Caenorhabditis elegans: one gene and its partner. The protein of the gene in region 1 interacts with the protein of each later gene in a pairwise test. Each region holds a gene or a part of one and is shown on either strand. Other genes may lie near its edges.

The links.
Region 2: the proteins of plk-2 (region 1) and Y48E1C.1 interact in a two-hybrid assay, tested with the Caenorhabditis elegans proteins (one study listed by BioGRID).

Annotation. Positions count from the first base shown.
Region 1 is NC_003279.8:2,756,605-2,760,358, forward strand, and holds the start of plk-2 (Serine/threonine-protein kinase plk-2), read right to left. Parts: upstream 1,601-3,754; coding exon 1,289-1,600; intron 1,233-1,288; coding exon 941-1,232; intron 893-940; coding exon 780-892; intron 490-779; coding exon 55-489; intron 7-54; coding exon 1-6. Other genes in the region: Y71F9B.9 (3-hydroxyacyl-CoA dehydrogenase), read right to left, coding at 2,470-2,640, 2,709-3,078, 3,125-3,366, 3,722-3,754. UniProt on the Caenorhabditis elegans protein: Serine/threonine-protein kinase which plays a role, during oogenesis, in chromosome pairing and synapsis, by facilitating the recruitment and attachment of meiotic chromosomes to the nuclear envelope during prophase.
Region 2 is NC_003280.10:13,413,452-13,417,205, reverse strand, and holds the start of Y48E1C.1 (Centromere protein S), read right to left. Parts: upstream 2,181-3,754; 5' UTR 2,178-2,180; coding exon 2,120-2,177; intron 1,350-2,119; coding exon 1,297-1,349; intron 1,179-1,296; exon of another isoform or gene 1-1,178. Other genes in the region: Y48C3A.18 (Threonylcarbamoyl-AMP synthase), read right to left, coding at 2,446-2,704, 3,126-3,251.

The sequences.
Region 1 (3,754 bases):
ATCAATCTGAAAGTAAAATTTTTGCTATTTAAATTAAAAATGTCATTTCCTTACATCTGCGGTTGGCGTAGCCAATAAATCGTTGACTTGAGCGAGTAAATTCGACAAATAGCAGTCAGTCGGCTGTCGGTACGCCTCCATTCGGTGAGTTTGCTGCCGTTCAGAATTTCTCGACACGAGATGAGCCGGAATCGCAGAAAGTCCGGATCTACCAGCTTGGTGCGGACCACGCTGATCGATCGTGCCACTTGGAGACACATTTTCCTCTGCGTATTCATCATCGTTTAAGTGTGGGACCATCGTGAGGCACGAAACTGGAAGACGAGCAGGCATGAAGCCGGATTTGAAGAAGTGATCTCGGCATACAGCTCTGGCATTTGGACGGCGACTCGGCACTGGGTCAAGAAGCACACGAATGAGTTGAGATGCTGCAGCACTCGCCGATGTTGGGATGACGTAGTTGTTGTTTTTGATGCGCGAATAGGTCTCCTGAAATATGAAATATGATGAATTTTGCCGCAAAGAAATATAGGCGTGGCGTAATTTCGCAACTCTGCGGCAACGTTTTTTTCCTCATTTTTTAGTTGTTTTTTTTTTCAATAAAGTTTCTTTTTATCATCATTTTCAGATGAAAATGTTATCCAATCAAATTCTCATCAGATTGTGAGGATATTTCATGTTTTTACAACCAATTTAGCATAAAATAGGATAACGTTTCAAAAAAGGACATGAAACAATAAAATCGGAGAAACCGTGCCGCCTCATTGCTGCTTCTTTACCTCCAAACTCTTCGACTCGAATGGCGGATGGCCGAAAAGAAGAATGTAGAGAATGCAACCAATCGCCCATAAATCGACTTCAAAGGAGTGCCCGATTTTGTTCAAAACTTCAGCTGAAAAATAAATATTCGATTTTTGCAACGATTCTGCGTGAAACATACGTGCAATGTAATTTGGAGTTCCACAGAGTGTCTTCTTTCTCTCATCATTATCACAAGTTGTTGCCAACCCGAAATCGCCGATTTTCACTTGCAATTCATCATTGAGGAAGAGATTTCCGAGCTTCAAATCACGATGTACAATCTTTAAATTGTGCAAGTAGAGCACACCTTCCACGATTTGATATGTAAAGTAGCGGGCTTCAGGCTCTGTGACCGCTTTTCGTCGCTTATGCAGCTCCATCAACGATCTTCTTGGACACAATTCCAGCGTGATGTAGACGTTTGATTTATCCTGGAATTTTTTTAAAAATAATTAATTAATTAATACCTAATTAATAATGTACAAACCTCGAAGAAGTGATATAATTTCACAACATTGCGATGTTGGAGGTTCCTATGAATCTGCACTTCTTGAGCCATTTTGTCTCTCTGATACTGCTTGATAAGCAGCGCTTTCGGGACGACTTTTCCAGCAAACAGCTCGCCTGTAGACTTGTTCCGCAGCTCGTAGCAATGTGCGAATCCTCCTTTTCCCAAAAATTTGCCTTTTTCATAACGAGTCTTGCGTTCTCCATCGAGAATCACGTCTGGAACATCTGGCGGCGCCTTCTCCTTCTTCTGGGACTTTACCCTTGCTGCAGACGGCTGTACACGCTGCATCTGAAAAGTCGAAATGTACTGTGAAATTTGAAAAAGTAAGAGGAACACGAGAAAAAAAAAATGTCACACGGCGAAAAGAAATGAACAACGACGGAAAAAGGCAATTAATCTAGCACCGACCTTCACCCGGAATGCGCCGACAGCGCCAGGCTAAGAACAACGAGAACAATGATAAATTGTCAGCTGTGTTTATGGGCCATTTCAGTGATTATCATGATATATTGACGGGAAAAGGACACAAAAATTACGGAAATAGGGTTCAAATACCCTTTTCTATCCCGTTTTCTAATTTTAATATACGCGAGAATGTTCATTTTAGTGCTTTTTTCGTTTTCAGGGTTGAAAAACAACTTTTTATTATAAAATTGACGGGGTAAAGAAGGATTTATACCAGAATTCGTTGATAATATCTCGAAAAATCGATGAATTTCCCATTTTAAAACGAAAATTAGGAGAAAATCAACGAAAAACACGTGTGATTTTTCAAAAAACAAAGCTGCCCGCGCGCGGGTCTCGCAACGATCGCGCCTGGGTACGGTAGTCCGAACGATTTACGAGCCTCGAAAATTATTGATTTTTCTGAAAATCGAATTACATAATTAATTAATTTAATGATTGCAAAATGTTTCCATTGAATTTTGCAAAACATTTTGAAACACAAAATCTATAATTATCAATTCCCGTGCATGTAATTACCGGTTTAGTGGTCAACTGTGTGTCCTTCGCGTGATTTTTATCGTATTTTTGCTGTTACATAGATTTGTATCTTGTTACGACATTTTTGCGCAATGAAATATGTCATAAATATCTCAAAAAAAGGGAGTATTTTTGTGCATTTATTGACAAAATAAATTCAATAAGAGGAAAAATTAAAGATTCAGGTCCTTCTTCAGCTTGGCAATTTCCACGAGCTTCTCTTCTCTCTCCGCTTGATGTTTTCGAATATTCAAAGTGCTCATTTTCGGCTCCAGCTCTTCTTCAAGCTTATTAATGACTTTCTCGTCTGTGAAATCTGGAATCGGCCCCATATCCTTCAGGACCTGGAAATGCTAGCGGAAATAAAAATAAATAAAATAAAAATAAAAAGCACAAGCTTCAAGCTCCTTACCGCCGTAATTCCAGCCGCATATCTTTTAAAATAATCTCTGACACCAAACGCGTTCAAATGAACCGTTTCACAAGTCCCATTGAACGCATATCTCGGCCCTAGACCAGCTGACATCACCGCATCCACATCATTCACGCCAATGACGCCATCGGCTACCAAACGCCAGGTTTCTGCTAGCAAAGCGAATTGTAGACGATTCACAACGAATCCCAAAACTTCTTTCTTCAGCTTCACCGGCTCCTGCTTCACAGATCGCATGATCTCTGCAGCTCTATCTACAGTATCCTGTGAGGTCCACGGAGCAGGAACAAGCTCGGTAAGAGGAAGGAAGAGCGGAGGATTGACGGGGTGGACGATAAGACAACGTTCCCTGAATTAATGTTAATAGAAATAAGATAACAAAGAAGTCTATTTACTTATTTATCAGACCATCAGTGAACTTGGACGCTGGAATTGTTGACGTACTACTTGCAAGGATCGTTGTAGGATCCGCGATCTCATCAATAACTTTGTAGAATTGAATTCGAAAATTTAAATCTTCAAGTGCAGATTCCTGCATATAAATTGCATTCTTCATAACCTCATTCAACGATGTAGTGGTAGAAACTCGAAGGAGAGCCTCATCAGCTGATAGATTGCCTCTTTGAAGGCCATGCTCCTAAATTTTTTTTTCTTTTTCTTGTTAGTCGGAAACGCGAAATTCCGAGAATGCGTATTGCGCAACATATTTGACGCGCAAAATATAAAAATATCCCGCAGCGAAATCTGGAGTGACTACTGTAGCCTTTGGGTCGATTTACGGACTCGATTTTGAAACGAATTTTTTCGTATTGTTTTGTAATTTGTGTGTGTGTGTGTGTTATCGATTAATAAATTATTTCCGTAAATCGACACAAGCGCTACAGTAGTACTTTAAAGAATTACTGTAGTTTTCGCTACGAGATATTTTGCGCGTCAAATACGTTGTGCAATACGCATTCTCAGAATTTAGAGTTCCCATTCAGGGGACTTACATCCAACTTCCGTAGATTTTTCTCTACATTCTC
Region 2 (3,754 bases), on another chromosome or scaffold:
ACGTGCTGACGTCACATTTTTTGGGCTAAAAAAATCCCGAATTTTTTGTAGATCAAACCGTAAGGGGACAGGCGCGGCGCCACCACGTGTAGACGCGATTTGAATGCAAAATACACCACGAAATTGAGGAGGAGTACACGAGCCGCGTAAATCTAACGCAACGAGTTTTTTTTTTTTTTAATTTAAGAAATTAAATTTTCTCAAATTTTCTGCAGAATCACAAGAATCGGAAATTTCTCGTCCTTCTCCTCTCCGTCCATCCAAATTCGTCCGATTTTCTGCTCCAACGCCAAATTGAGATCCGGCTCGATGCAAACCGTGAACTCGTCACTCCACACAGTGCCAACATAGTCCAAAAACTTTTGCAAACTTTGCTTCCGGCGGGGGCTCGACAAAATCGCTCGGCCACTGGGCCGAAGGTGCGAGTGAATGCATTTCATGAGAGATTCGTGGTGCTCCGAGAAGAATACACAGTCCGCCGCGAGAATCGTGTCAAAGGTGTGCTGCTGCTGGAGCTCTTGTGCGCCCCAAATCAACTGCCGCACGTGGCAGCAGCGATCCAACGACGAGTTTGAATTTCGAATCTTTTCCAGAGAACGCACGGATTCCATGTTACCATCTGTAACCCAGACACTCGAATCGGGAACCTTGCATGCAATCAGAATGCTTGAAAGTCCCAAGAAGCCAGCGCCAAGCTCTAGGATTCTCCTGTGGCCACCACCATCACCGTCGCCAAGGCTGGGACCAAGGATCTTGTTGGGATCCCGTAGGATGGTCCAGGCGAGTGCCTCACTTCCAGGCCAGATCCTCACATTTCCAGTGTTGTCAAATCCCGACGCAAGGGTGTCCAAGGAGACTGCAGGGGTTGGTGGGAAGAATTTGAAGATTCGAAGAAACGAATCGTCATCGGAATCCGAGGAAGATGAATCAAAGGAAGACGGAGGAGAAGCAGCTCGTTCACAAATCCACATGCAATCACCAACACGTTTCACGTCAAACAATATCAGAGAATCAGTAGTGGATGAGGGACCGCCGCCGCCGACTCGGCTCAACGTTTCCCGTAGCCGCTCCGAGAAGACTGACCAATTGCGCCGGGCACGTGTTGATGACGTGGATGAGGGGGCCGATGACGTGGCAGATGATGTGCAAGTGGAGCCCCGGCTCAATTTGAGATGGATCTATATTATGTACATCTTAGGGGGATTGTTCTGTGTTAGGGGAGGGGGGGGGGGGGGTCTAGTACTACTTTTTTTTCTAATTTTTTAAATGGAAAATTTCAAATTTCAAAAAACGAACCTTTTCATCTATGAAATCACCCTCTTCCCACGCGTTCTTCTCGTCGTCTGCGTCTGGAATTTTTTTTTGTTGGGAATTTTCGAAAACTTTGGTGGAAATTTTGAATTTTGAAAAAATCTGGCGCAAAAATGAAATTTTAATTTACGGGAATTCAAAATTTTGAAAAAAAAAACACATTTTTTGGTGAGAAATTTAAATTTTCAACAAAAAAATTTGGCGGGAGTTAAAATTTTGAACTTTTTTTGAATTTCGAAATTCAAATTTTTTGAGTACTGTAGGGGTACTGTAGGAGTACTGTAGGGGTACTGTAGGGGTACTGTAGGGGTACTGTAGGGGTACTGTGGGAGTACTGTAGGGGGAGTGTAGGGGTACTGTAGGGGTGCTGTGTTAGTACTGTACTGGTCTATAAGAGAACTGTAGGGATACTGTAGGGGTACTGTATGGGTACTGTAGAAGTACAGTAGGGGTACGGTAGGAGTACTGTAGGAGTACTATAGGGGTACTATAGGGACACTGTAGGTGTACTGTAGCAGTACTGAAGGGGTACTGTAGGGGTACTGTACAGCTCCTAAATTTTTGGCGGGAAATTTAAATACTTTGAAAACATTTTTGGGGGGAAATCCAATTTTTTTCAAAATTTCTGGCGCACGATTAAAATTGAATTTTTCAAACAAATGTTGTTGAGGATAATTTGAATTTTTTATTTCCAAATTTTTGGCGCGAAATTCGAAATTTGGGGGGAAATTAATGTTTTGGAAAAAAAAAGTTTTGGACCTACTGTAACTACTACCCGTAAAATCGCTACGAGACCCCCAAAAATTACCTTTTTTCTTGCCGCCACGCGGTTGTGGTCCTCCCTTGCCCTCCACAGGGTCTCCCATTATCTGTAAAATTTGTTTTTTTTTCTGAAAATTAGAATTTTCAAATAAAATTGTTTGGAAATCGATATAAAAAGTGTTGAGAAACACTGGGGAAATGGCAAAAAATAATAAAAAAAGATTTTCCAAAAAATATGAATTATTAACAAAAAATCAACAAAATCAGTGTACAAAACAAGAAAAAATCATAGAAAAATGTGGAAAATACAGAATTTGTGACGTCGGGTGGCCTAGAAACTTGAAAAACTCTTCCAACTTCACAACCCCAAGATCACTGAATTTTCGTCAATCCGAATGATTTAAGCTTCTGCATCGTCTCCTTCTCAGCACATCCACTTCGAACAATCCGGAATCCTGATTCAACAGTCAAATCGACAATCGTTGATCCTTCACCACTGGAGATGATTGATCCGGCGTCGAGGATCAGATCGATATTCGGATGAAGATCTCGGAAATGATCGATTGATGTCGGGTTGAGTGAGGATCCACTGACGTTGGCCGATGTTTGAGCGAGCGGTTGGCCGAGTTTTCTGGAAAAAATGGGACCGGATTGGAAAATTGATAATTACTGGTTTCTGAAAAAAAAATTGAAAAATCGATAATTGCCGATTTCAAAAAAATCGATAATTGGCGATTTTCAAAAAAATCGATTATTTGCCGATTTTCAAAAAATGGATAATTACCGATTTCCAAAAAATCGATAATTGACGATTTTCCAAAAAATCGATAATTGCCGATTTCAAAAAAATCGATAATTGGCGATTTTCAAAAAAATCGATAATTGCCGATTTTCAAAAAAATCGATAATTGCCGATTTCCAAAAAATCGATAATTGGCGATTTTCAAAAAAAAATCGATAATTGCCGATTTTTCGAATTTCAAAAAATTTAGAAAAATCGATAATTATTGATTTTTCGATTTCCAAAACAACGTTATTTTTCCATTATTTACTTGCATATCGTCGAAACAATTGGGCAGTCTGGAACCCGACAGGCTACGTTAACAACTCCCGGATTAAATTCCGCCGGTAGGCATGGAAGGCGTTCGAACATTAATGTAACTGGACCGGGGAGGAGGCTGAAAATTTGTCGATACACCATATCTTACGCTCAAATTTAAATTTTTCATAAAATTTGCGCGTCAAATCTGGTGTTTTCAAGTACGCAAGCTCAAACTTCTCTCAACTTTGCGCGTAAAATCTGGTGCATTGATGGGCGGAGCCGATACACTTGATCTGACGAGCAAATTTTAATTTTTTCGATGAAAAACTGCGCGTCAGATCTGGTGCATTGGGGGCGGAGTCCATACACCATATTTTACGAGCAAATTTCCACAATTTGCGCGTCAAATCTGGTGTATTGACTCCGCAAGCTCAAATTTCTCTCAAATTTGCGCGTGAAATCTGTTGCATTGAGGGCCGAGCCAATACACCATATTTTACGAGCAGATTTTCAAAGTTTGCGCGTCAAATCTGGTGCATTGGGGACGAAGCCAATACACCATATTTTACGCGCAAATTTTAATTTTTGAAAAAATTCGCGCGTCAAATCTAGTGTTTTCGAGTCCGCAAGCTCAGTTTT